Macaca mulatta: one gene and its partner. The protein of the gene in region 2 purifies or fractionates together with the protein of the main gene of each other region. This does not show direct contact. Links are inferred from orthologs where the notes say so. Each region holds a gene or a part of one and is shown on either strand. Other genes may lie near its edges. The genes, in order: VAPB and RAB3GAP2.

Region 1 (6,611 bases), on a different chromosome or scaffold from region 2:
TACAGTGAGCTATGATGGCACCACTGCCCCCCAGCCTGGGTGACAGAGCAAGACCCTGCCAAAAAACAAAAACATTTACTTTTACTCTCTCAGAAAGATACCCCTAGTCTGAAGGAGCTTAATGTTCACTTACTAAAAATATCTCATGAAAATCAACCTTAAGTCTAGGCAAATCCTCCTGTGTCATGCTTCTTTCAGGAAGCCACCAGGCTTTGTCCTTTCCATATTTATGATGCAGCACAGTACTTCCTATAAAACTGCATAAGGTCATATAAATTTGCGTTTTTTCTTCTGTAACATCCTTAAATTTAATATACCACACAAAATTCCCAAGATTAAAGAGTCTGACAATATACAATCCCATATGATCAACTTAGGCTGCATTTAAAAGATAATTTTTCCTTTGAATGGGCATTTTAGTTATTACCTTCTTAAGTAGTTAGCTCAGAGGTTCATCTAGGTGAACCACCAGAAATCAGAGTCATCACCCTGAGTAACCTGGAAGAAACCAGTTAAATGTGCCAGTTTTCATCCTGAAATGAATTATCTCTAAGTAAGTCAGGGTATTGAGTCTCTATTAATTGTACTGTCTTAGCATTCAGTTTAAAACAAACAACACAACTCATGACGTCGTTTAAAAACACACACAGATGTCTCTTCTAAAGTTATAAGCCAGAGGCCTTCAACAATTTGGTACCATCTCTCTTGGACCACTTCCCCAGCAAAAATATCCAGTGACTTTGGCATTATTACTTTGGCCAATCCAGGGCCAGAATGATCCCTCTTCTCTGCCACACCTTTCAGGTACAGAAGTGATGAAACCACTTAAGTGGTTAAGTGGTTGTCTAATCTCTGTATAGTACTACGCACTTACAAAGCCGCTAACAGCCATGTCATTCCTTTTAAACACTTTCTACAAGAGGCAAGGTGGACATGAGCATCATCCCCATTGACCAAAGAATGACCCCAGGCTTTGAGGAGTGAAGTGGCCTAAGGTCACACATCTTTCAGTAAAACAACTGAACAAAATCTTGAATTTTCTCAAATGAGTGCCTCTTTCCATAACATCCTATTAGACAACAGAGTTTGTACTGGGATTTGGGGGTTTTCAGAAAGTTAATGCAAGGAAGGACTGCTCAAGGAGAAGCAACACAATTTTAACTTGGACACTGGCTGCATCTATGCATAAAGGGACTGAGGTCTGACTCCTGTCTACTCACCAGCCTTGTCTGCCATCTTGCCGGGCAACCACAACAAATTTTCTTTGTTGCTGTCATTCACAACTACTAGTGGTGGCTGGGCACAGTGGCTCACGCCTGTAATCCCACCACTTTGAGAGGTCAAGGAGGGCAGATCACTTGCGGTCTGGAGTTTGACACCAAACTGGCCAACATGGTGAAACCCCGTCTCTACTGAAAATACATTTTTAGCCAGGCGTAGAGGCACACGCCTGTATATAATCCCAGCTACTCAAGAGGCTGAGGCAGGAGAATCGCTTGAACTTGGGAGGCGGGGGTTGCAGTGAGACAGCACGTCTCTGCACTCTAGCCTGGGTGACAGAGTAAGACCTGCATCTCAAAAAAAAGAAAAGAAAAAGAAAAAAAAGAACTACTGGGCATCCCAAAGGAGCCCAGTCATCTCAGTGTTTGTGCCTCTGTGCATGCAATTTCCTCTGTCTGAAATGTTCTCACCCTTTCCTTCTTTGAGCCTTCTTCTACTCAACCTTTATAACTGAGCTCAAATGACACCTCCTTCAGGAGCTTACCTCCTCAATGCTCCTGGGGCACTCTGAACTACCCTACATCATTGTCCTGTCCTGGCTGTTGTTCTCATCTGTCCCCTTCCCTAAAGTACTGGGAGGAGGTTGAGGGAAAATGGGAGAGTACAGCTGATATGACTTGGCTTCTCCGGGTGTCTGACACACAGATCAGGTACTCAGTAAATGTTTGTGGACTAACCGAATGAACCCACCAATTCTCAGGAGAAGCCAAGCCAGGCCTCCCAGACAGAAAAAGAACTTCAGACAACTCAAGTGGAAACCATGGCTCACCACTTTAGCCACCTGGCCTCCTTTTCCAATCTGGCGTTCCCAGAAAGCCATGAGCGCATCATGAAACCTCAAGTACTATCCTGGAATTTCGATCCCCGGTAGGTTTGGTGGGGTTTTTTTGTTTTTTTCATTTTAATTGGAAAGCCTTTGGTTCTCTGTAAATTCAGAGTTATTTCACATTGTTAACTTGGAAGGCAAAGTGACAGCCACCGTTCTGGAGTATTTCCCAGCGATCAGACAGCGTAACGGTTAACAGCGTGAACTCTGAAGTCTGGGTTCAAATGTACCACTTGCCAACTGGGTAACTTTGCATAAGTTACCCTACACTACTTCCCAATAGGACATATAAACTGAAGAACCTCTGGCCATTCATTAATACCAGCTGAACATCTACTGTGAGCCCGCTGCTAGCGATATAGTGGAGACCTGACCTTCCAATCTACAGTACACTTCCATGGAGTCAAACTGTTCCATTTCCTACACAGCACTTAGCACTATCTGCAAAGATCACGTGTGCTGGTTTGCCTGTCCTCGTCGGAAGGTAAGCTCTATGAGAACAGAGGCCTTGTCTGTCTTGTTCATCCATCACCTCCCCAGTGCCTTCCACGGATCTGTAACGATGTTGTGTGCTGGTTTGTCTGTCCTCGTCGGAAGCTAAGCTCTCTGAGAGCAGAGGCCTTGTCTGTCTTGTTCATCCATCACCTCCCTAGTGCCTTCCACATCACTGGATACAAGCAAAAAGAAGGAATGAGCATGTCAGACCTTTTACCTCGTGGCCCTGGTGAAGGTAGGAAAAAAAAAAAAAAAAAGAACAACATAGAAAACATAAAGGCACAAATTACAGAGATAATAGTGTCTGGGAGAAACCAGGGTCATGGTTTCCCACCACCGCAGGTGTTGCTCCAGGCAGCTCTGCGGAGCAAAAGGATCCCAGCACCTTGGCAGCCTCCCTCAGCTGCATCCAGGAGGCACCATGAGGGAGGCAGTGAACGGAAAATGGGACCAATCCCATCAGAAGGCCTGAGGAGGTTCATTTGTTGGTTCAACAGGTATTTCCTAGGCGTCTAATGTGTGCTGGGTACACAGCAGCGAACTGACAAGAGCCTGTCCTCATGCAGTTTCCTTTCTAGTGTTGAAACAGTGATTTTGAGTACGAAAAGTGCGGTGCTGACCACGAAACAGTGACAGAATGGGGACAGCAGGAGAGCAGGTGTGCACGGTGGGCTGGGTGGCCACAGCAGGCCTCTCTGGGCAGGTGATACCTCAACTAAACCCTGAGGTCAACACTGTCACAGAGCAGGGGAAGAACCTTCCAGGCAACAGCAGCGGCGGAGGCTCACACTAAAGTGATCACAAACTGGTCACTAAGTTACAAGGCAAAGTGACAAGTGCCTCGAAGGCAAGTCCCAGGAGGCTGGGGGTCGGGGAGGAGGCAGAGGCCCTAGCTCCTGCACCAGCCCTCTCGGGTCCCGGCCGCTCCGCGCATTTCTGGGGCGCGCGCTGAGCGCCAAGGCCCGGCCCGGCCTCGCCGGCCCCCACGACAGCGCCGTCGGGGTGGGGACGAGGGCCGACGTCACCCGCCGCGCCGGACTCCGTCCCTCCAGCACTGGGGCGGGGGCCGCAAGCATGAAGGTGGCGGCCTCTGGGGCTTACCTCGGAATTTGAGCTCGTGCTGCGGCTCGAGGCTCAGGACCTGCTCCACCTTCGCCATGTTCCTCAGCGGCGGAGCACCTTTGGCGGGGAGACCCCTGAGAGGTCACCGGGGCGGGAAGCGTTAATGCCGCGCCCGCTTTAAGTTTTACAAAAAAGGGGGGACCAGTCGGGGCACGGGTGAGAGTCTTCGACGGGGTGCGCGCGCTGGGGGGGGTCGTTCTACGCGGTGCAGGCTCAGGGGCGGAGGGCGAGGGCGAGGCCGCGGTGCCCGGCGAGCTGACGGCACGCACGCACGCACGCACGCACGCACAGGCGTACACACGCACGCACGCAGCAGGCTGGCCCGCTCGGGCGGCGGGAAGCTGCGCCCTGCGCCGCCAGCTCCAGGGGCGGGGACTAAAGCTGCGCGCGTGGAGCCCCACCCGGGACAGTGCGCAGGCGCGGTACAAGCCACGGGGGCGGAACTGCAGGGCAGCAAGGGGCGGGGCTTCGCGCTGCTCAGGAGGCGGGGTTTGTAGTCCGGCTACGACTGCAGCCGCGAAAACTATTAAGGGTCCGCTGGGGGCCAGCCTCGTGTTAAATGCTTTATTCAGTAACAACAATTAGAATAAACTTCCACTTTTCTCTTGCTTATGTAGTGCCAGGCACTGTTAGAGACTTTGAATAATAGTCAAAGTACTTAGTATAAACATGATGTTTATGGGTGAGTGATATGGGCTAAGCACTGTGACGTCTTGTAAATAATAATTATAAATATAATAAACTACCAATTATTGCTTATTTCGTATCACTCTGCTGAATGCTTCCAATGACAACAGCAGCTACAATAAATACAAGCTACTCTACGTTAAATGTTTATTAGGCAACTGGCACTGTGCTGAATTTTTACTAGTAAATTCGATTTGTTTATGCAATAAATATTTAGAAATACAATGATCAGAAAAGCTAACCTGATTCCAATCCTTTTACTGTAGCCTAGTGAAGAGACATTTTGAATAAATAACCACACAAGTAAGTTAAATAATTAAAAATTGCTGGAGAATCCAGATCTGCTTGACCTCAAAAATGGATACTCTACATCATGATTACCGTTTAAATTGTATTTCATTATATTATGTTCACTGTGAAAGTAAAGTAGGTGTTCTTAATAGTCTCCTATACATACCAATATAGGTGAAACAAACATGGCAAATTGCTAACAATGGCTGACTTGACATCGCAGGTACATGGTTTTCTTGTACTGTTTCTCCCACTTTTCTGTATACTTGAAATTTTTCATGATAAACAGATTTCTTGGAAGAATAATCTTTGTATTTTAACTGTAGCATTTAGTCCATTTACATTTATTATATTTACTAATATATCTGGAATTATTTCTACCATCGTATTTTGTTATTTCTACTTGTCCTGCCTGTTTTGTTTTTCTTTTTTTTTTCCCCTTTCTTCTTTGGGGTTTATTTTTATTCTCATTCTTATTTTCTTCACCTACATACTCTATTTCTAAGTTTTAGTGGTTACTTGAAAATTTTGGGCATGCATGCTTACCTTGTGAAAGTCCAGTATGTTTAAATATTTGTAAAAATGTCTTTACCCTGTTTCCTTAAAATATGAAGACTTCGGAGTACTTTAATCACCCATCCTCTAAATTAGACACCTTAATGTAGTGTATGTTAAGTTTAACCTTTGCCATTTTAACCCCAGGAGACATTATTAAATTGTTTTATACAGTCAACATTAATTTAGATTCAGCCACACAATTACCATTTTTATTCTTCTTCTTGCATCTTAGCTTTCATGAACAGGATCACTCTCCTTTTGCCTGAAGTAAATCCTTTAAATTTTACTTTTTTGTAGGTTTGTTGGTGCAGACCCTCTCAGTTTCTGTTCGTCTGCAAATGCATTCGTTTTTGTCTTTTGTTGTTTTTTATTTATTTATTTTTGGAGATGAGGTCTTGCTCTGTTGCCCATGCTGGAGTGCAGTGGCATGATCATGGCTCACTGTAGCCTGTATCTCCCAGGCTGAAGCAGTCCTCCCACCTCAGACTCCCATGTACCTGAGACTAAAAGCATGCACCTCCATGCCAGGCTAATTTTCTTTATTTTCTGTAAAATCTCACTATGTTGCCCAGGCTGGTCTCAAACTCCTGGGCTCAAGTGATCCTCCAGCCTCAGCCTCCAAAGTGCTAGGATTACAGGCATGAGCCATTGCACCTGGCCTTGTCCTTGTTCTTGAAAGATGTTTTGGCTTCCTTGCTTGAATGACAGCTGTCCTCTCTCAGCACAGTTGATTGCCATCCACTGTTTGCCTGCTCCCCCTCATTGCTCCTCAGGAGTCCAGTGACAATCTTACATCGTTCCCTCATAGGTTGTTGGTCTTTTCCCCCTCTTCTCATGTTCTACAGTTTTACCTTGCTGTATCTTTTTTTTTTTTTTTTTGAGACGGAGTCTTGCTCTGTCCCCCAGTCTGGAGTGCAGTGATGCCATCTCAGCTCACTGCACCCTCTGCCTCCCATGTTCAAGCGATTCTCCTGCCTTAGCCTCCCGAGTCTCTGGGATTACAGGCACCCACCACCACGCCCGGCTAATTTTTGTGTTTTTAGTAGAGACAGAGCTTCGCCGTGTTGGCTAGGATGGTCTCAAACTCCTGACCTCAGGTAATCCACTCACCTCGACCTCCCAAAGTGTTGGGATTACAGGCGTGAGCCACAAAGCCCAGCTCATGCTATATCTTTTTATTTATTCTGCCTTGAATTCTTTGGGCTTTCTGAATTTGGTGATTGGTGTCTTTCATTATTCTTGAAAACTCTCAGACAATACCTTTTTTTTTTTAATTTAATTTTACTTTTTTATTGTGGTAAGATACACATAACATAAAATTTACTATCTTTTTAAAGTATACAGTGGTATT
Region 2 (5,911 bases):
AACATTTATAATGGAGGCATCCAACATCAAATTGAAGCAAGTTCATATGAAGTAGTTAATTTGATCTACATATATATATATATATAAAATAACATAAGTATACAAATACAACATTAGTCTTAACTACTACTCTAATCCATGGATACGGGACTTGTATTTGACCTGAGAAATTAATAGTACTAGCTTCCATTGTTGAAGACTTTTTCTGGTGTGTTGTTGAGAATGGTTGTATGACTAGAGTTTGTGTGTGTGTGTGTGTGTGTGTGCGTGCGTGCACGCGCGCGTGTGCATATACCAGAAATACTGAATTATTTGCTTTGGGGATGTGAGGAAATTATAGATTGCTGCTTTTAAAAAGAGTATACGGCCAGGCGCGGTGGCTCACGCCTGTAATCCTAGCATTTTGGAAAGGCGAGGCTGGTGGATCACCTGAGGTCAGGAGTTTGAGACCAGCCTGACCAACAAGGTGAAACCCCGTCTCTACTGAAAATACAAAAACTAGCCAGGTGTGGTGGTGGACGCCTGTAATCCCAGCTACTCGGGAGGCTGAGGCAGGATAATTGCTTGAACCAGGAGGTGGAGGTTGCAGTGAGCCGAGATCGTGCCACCGTACTCCAGTCTGGGCAACAGAAGTGAAACTCTGTCTCAGAAAAAGAGATTATACACAAATGCAGTGGTCCCTTGGACAGGCCCTTTAAAGGAGTCATTGAGAGTCATCTGTTGCTCACAGCATGAATCTGTTATTTAGTTCTCAAGCTTGAGGATTCTAGTTTTGCTCAGAGGGTTGGGTTTAGTCTCTAAAAGACACTCTGAAAGCAGATCAGGCTGTTTTCTTGGAACTCTTCAGGTTAGATTCTCATTTGTGCATCTTCCGTCTACCACAATTATTTGGCTACCAGATGCCTTAGCAAGCTGAACAGTGAGCTCAGAAGTGCCACCATCTATAGTAACTGATGAGACTGTGTCTTTACAGTACACAAAGAACACTACTTGTTTTAAAAGTCAGTATTTGTACCACTTTGTAAAGCTTGACTTTAAAATTGGTTGACAGTAAATAAAAGAAGGAACTTAAATATGCTGATGCCTTGACTTTCAAATTCTTGCCATCTATTCAGTGTGGAAAGTCAGCCGAACGGGCATATTGTATCCTCGTTCTTGTTTTGCTGATGGTAACTACAGCAGTTTTCCTGCAGGGCCTAATTATGTTCCTTTTTTAAAAACAGGATGTGGGAATGAGTGACACAGCAATGACATCTTTCCTTGGCTCCTGTTTGGATCTTCTTCAGATCTTAATGGAGGTAAAAGAGGTGTATTTTCATTCTGAACTGCTCCTAAGATATTAAATATTCTGCAAACCATTGCATTTAATAAATGACTATTTTAATGAGGTTGTTTTTCATTCCCTCATTTCTAAATTTTGACTTAAGCCTAAAAGGTAGTGATATTTTCTCATTAAATCCTTCTTGAAATTAGACTTTGTGTTTATTACAATTTGGGACACTGTGCAATATGAGTTTGCACTTTGCTGCTAATAAACTCATTAGGATATTTGTAAGCTATTATTTTTCCATTACTAAACACAGTCCTCCATTCTTAAAACCCTTAGGCAGATGTTAGCAGGGATGAAATACAGGTGCCTGTGCTGGATACTGAGGATGCGTGGCTTTCCGTGGAAGGACCCATCTCCATAGTGGAACTGGCCCTTGAACAGAAGCACATCCACTACCCACTGGTGGAGCACCACTCCATCCTGTGCTCCATCTTGTATGCAGTCATGAGGTTTTCTCTGAAGACCGTGAAGCCACTGTCACTTTTTGACAGTAAGGTAAGTACCTCAAAGGATTTCAGAGCTATTTTGGAGTTGCAGGCTTAGCAGACACATGGATTTTCATATTTAATAGAAGCTGTCCAGTACTTTTGTGACTTGTGTCATTTGGTGTGAGGTTCCAACTCCCTCATTCCCTGCTTGATTCCGTTCTTTTTATTTACCTTCTGTACTGCTCCCCTTGGGGAGTTTTGCCCTCTCAGCTGTCTGCTCTTCTCGTTCTCCATATTATTCCTGGACAGACTCATTTTCTCCCTCTTGTATATCTCTAGGCCTGACCAATCCCTAGAGTTGGAGGCATGCATTTCAATTGAACTTCTCTCTTTGAGTGTCTTAGAGGGCTTCAAACACCTCATATCTAAAATATACCTGCAAACCTATACCCCCATCCTGCCCCTAACTTAAATTTGCTGTTCCTTCTGAATTCCCTGGCTTGGTTATTTTATTAATGATGTCATCATTTTTGCCCTGGCAAAAACTAGAAACTTTGAAGTTATCTCACCAATTCCTTACTTCAAGCCAATTTTCTTCATTGTAAATTCATTCTTACAAATTCTTCCATAGATCATACCTGTCCATTTCTCTCTATGACTATACCCCTAGTTCAGGCACAATCATCTTTGCCTTGGCTATTAAAACAGCCCTTTCCTAATCACCTGCCTCCAGTTTCTCTCTCTCCAGTCCCATGCTGCAAGAGCTGTCTTCCTAGGAGACAGGTTTAATTGTGTTAGTTCTATACCTAAGATTTTATTGGCTCCTCTGCAGGATTGAGTCCAAACTTGTGAGTAGAATATGTTTTTACATACTATATTGTAACTTGCACAGTTTAGCTGCAGTAGATAGTAAAATCCTTTCCTTCCCCATGCAGCTGTCAAATTTTGAGAGACAGGACACAAACTGTTGGAGATAAAAATGTCAACTTTATTACTTAGCTTTTTACTGATAGAAGCTGGGTTAGAGAACACAGCTTACGCTTGTGGGAAAATGGGTTTATTATTTCACCCTTAAATAAGAGACTCCCGAATAGGCGCGGTGGCTCATGCCTGTAATCCCAGCACTTTGGGAGGCCAAGGTGGGCGGATCACTTAAGGTCAGGAGTTTGAGACCAGCCTGGCCTACATGGTGAAACCCTGTCACTAGTAAAAATACAAAAACTAGCCAGGCGTGGTGGCGCAAGCCTGTAATCCCAGCTACTTGGGAGGCTGAGGCATGATAATCACTTGAACCTGGGAGGCAGAGGTTGCAGTGAGCCGAGATCACACCACTGCACTTCAGCCTGGGCCACAGAGTGAGACTCTGTCTCAAAAAAAAAAAAAAAGTATAGATTTTGAAAAAAAAAAAAAGTTAGTATATCTTTGAGATTATAAAGGATAAGAGTACTTAAAGGTTAAAACAGAGAAAGAAATACCAAAATAAAGTGCCCAGCTCAGTATTCCCCTCAGAAAAGGTCTTTGTGAAACCAGAACATACCCACAATTGGACGAGCACAGTAATGTTTAATTTCCACCCATGTCATGCCAAGACTACCTGAGACAGCTGGGTGACACTCATCTGCAGAGAGCTAGTACGGTTGAGTGGCTAGTGAAACAATGCCAGTGCTACCATTTGCTAACTAGAATTATTTAGATTTTCTTACTCTCAGTTTTCTCATTCATAAAGTAGCAGTGACTCCAGCGCCAACCTCATGGTTGTTGTGAGGGTTCCTTGTATTCAACATGAAGTACGTAGTGTCTGGAATGTAGTAAATACTGGTACTATTATAGATGCTTATAGCTAGGACCACCAGGTGGGAACTATCGAGTAACAGATTGTGAATGTGTGCTAAATCTTTAAATACTTCTATCAGTGATGCCCAAAATGCCATGGGTTGCCCTGTAAGTCTGGTTTTTCTTATCACTAAAGGATGAGTAGCTTTAATCTGCTTGGCAGTCACAATAGATGACCTAGAATCACAGATGATCAGGTATGGAAGGCACATTGGAAGATGTGCTTGCAGGATGTATCCTTGCTAGGATGACCTGCATGCAGAAGAAGAAACAGTAACCCAAGATTGGGGGTCAGTTACCCAAGACAACCTGGTTGGAAGTGGTGAGCCTCAGACTAGACCCAGGTCTTTCAACTCAAAGGCCAGTGCTCTTTGCTCTGTATTACATTTCCTTCCAAGGAACTTCTGAAATCCTGTTTCCTGATATTCCGTTTTTACTCTTTAGACACACATCTGTTCTTTTAAATAAGGTGTTTTTAAACAATTCAACATGTGTTTTTAAAAGGACTCAGAGGTTGGGCGCAGTGGCTCATGCCTGTCATCCCAGCACTTTGGGAGGCCAAGGCGGGCAGATCACCTGAGGTCAGGAGTTTGAGACCTGCCTCGCCAACATGCTGAAACCTGTCTCTACTAAAAATACAAAAAAATTAGCCTGGGCTTGATAGTACATGCCTGTAGTCCCAGCTACTTGGGAGGCTGAGGTCAGAATCGCTTGAACCAGGAAGGTGAAGGCTGCAGTGAGCATTCCAGCCTAGGCAACAGAGTGAGACCCTGTCTCAAAAAAAAAAAAAAAAGATTCAGGGTACATATATGTATTACTTAGCTATTACTGCAGAGCAAATCATCCCAAAGCTTGGCTGAAAATACCAAACATTTATTATCTCACAGTTGCTGTGGGTCAGTAATCTGTGTTCTCCTTATCTAGGTGCCTCTGGCTTAGTCTCTCATGAAGCTGTAGTTAAGATGCTGCATCTGAGAGCTCAGCTGGGATGGGGAAAGGGTGACTCACTTCCAAGCACAATTGTTGGCAAGATTCATTTATGCCACATGTGCCTGTCCATACAGCAGCTCACAACATGGAACCTGGCTTCCTGCAGAACAAGTGAGAGTGAATATGAGTGCCTCAAGGCAGAAGCAGCCTTTGGAACGTGGTCTTGGAAGTAACATGCTATCACCTCTACCTACTTCTGTTTGCTAGCAGCAAGTCACCAGCCTACATGCAAGGAAAGGAGACTATAGGAAACATGAATACCAGGAGGAGGGGATCACTGGGGATCATCTTAAAGGCTGTCTACTCCATACTAGATACTTGTTATAAAAATTAAAGGAAGAATTCTAAAATCTTACTGTTCAAGGAGAAATGAAAATCAACCATTAAGTGACTTAAGTTTTAAACAGATCTTTCTCCCTTTCCCCCCTTCCCCCTTCATAATCTACACTCATCAGTTTTCTTGCTGTCTTTCTCTTTAGGGAAAAAATGCATTTTTCAAAGACCTAACTTCAATTCAGTTATTACCTAGTGGGGAAATGGATCCAAATTTCATTTCTGTACGACAACAGGTAAATTACAGCTATTGGATTTTGTTTTTGTTTCTTGGAAAAAAAACAGTAAAGGAAAAATCTAGCTTGCTTTTGAAAAGAATGACCACTTTCTATCGCAAGGACAGAAAACCAAACACCACATGTTCTCACTCATAGGTGGGAATTGAACAATGAGGTCACTTGGACACAGGAAGGGGAGCATCACACACCGGGGCCTATCGTGAGGTGGGGGGAGGGGGAAGGGATAGTATTAGGAGATATACCTAATGTAAATGATGAGTTAATGGGTGCAGCACACCAACATGGCCCATGTATACATATGTAACAAACCTGCATGTTGTGCTCATGTACCCTAGAACTTAAAGTATAAATAAATAAATAAATAAAATAATATTTTTAAAAATGACCACTTTCAAAGTATTCTTGAAAGCTAGTTGTTTACCTTTAAATGATGTGTTCCTTTTTTGATAATTAAACAATTTCATGGAAAAGCCACTGTAAGTGACAAAAAAGCTAACAATACTTTGATTTAGGTATTTTAAAATGAAACAGTAACAATATATTGCTGTATCTCTTTTTCCATTTTCAAGTTCTTATTGAAAGTTGTCAGTGCAGCTGTCCAGGCCCAACATTCAGCCACAAAGGTCAAAGATCCCACAGAAGAGGCCACACCCACTCCTTTTGGGAAAGACCAAGATTGGCCAGCTCTAGCTTTGGATTTAGCCCATCACCTTCAAGTTAGTGAAGATGTTGTTAGAAGGCATTATGTTGGGGAGCTA

The links.
Region 1: the proteins of RAB3GAP2 (region 2) and VAPB purify together in Homo sapiens (affinity purification with mass spectrometry; 4 studies listed by BioGRID and IntAct, counting the BioPlex papers as one, with this or other methods). This does not show direct contact. The link is inferred for Macaca mulatta from reciprocal best matches to the Homo sapiens genes RAB3GAP2 and VAPB.

What each region holds. Positions count from the first base shown.
Region 1 is NC_133415.1:111,190,305-111,196,915, reverse strand, and holds the start of VAPB (vesicle-associated membrane protein-associated protein B/C), read right to left. Parts: upstream 3,940-6,611; 5' UTR 3,762-3,939; coding exon 3,704-3,761; exon of another isoform or gene 3,655-3,703; intron 3,605-3,654; exon of another isoform or gene 1,476-3,604; intron 1-1,475. UniProt on the Homo sapiens protein: Endoplasmic reticulum (ER)-anchored protein that mediates the formation of contact sites between the ER and endosomes via interaction with FFAT motif-containing proteins such as STARD3 or WDR44.
Region 2 is NC_133406.1:77,945,653-77,951,563, reverse strand, and holds part of RAB3GAP2 (rab3 GTPase-activating protein non-catalytic subunit), read left to right. Parts: intron 1-1,223; coding exon 1,224-1,298; intron 1,299-1,606; coding exon 1,607-1,825; intron 1,826-5,060; coding exon 5,061-5,150; intron 5,151-5,722; coding exon 5,723-5,911. UniProt on the Homo sapiens protein: Regulatory subunit of the Rab3 GTPase-activating (Rab3GAP) complex composed of RAB3GAP1 and RAB3GAP2, which has GTPase-activating protein (GAP) activity towards various Rab3 subfamily members (RAB3A, RAB3B, RAB3C and RAB3D), RAB5A and RAB43, and guanine nucleotide exchange factor (GEF) activity towards RAB18.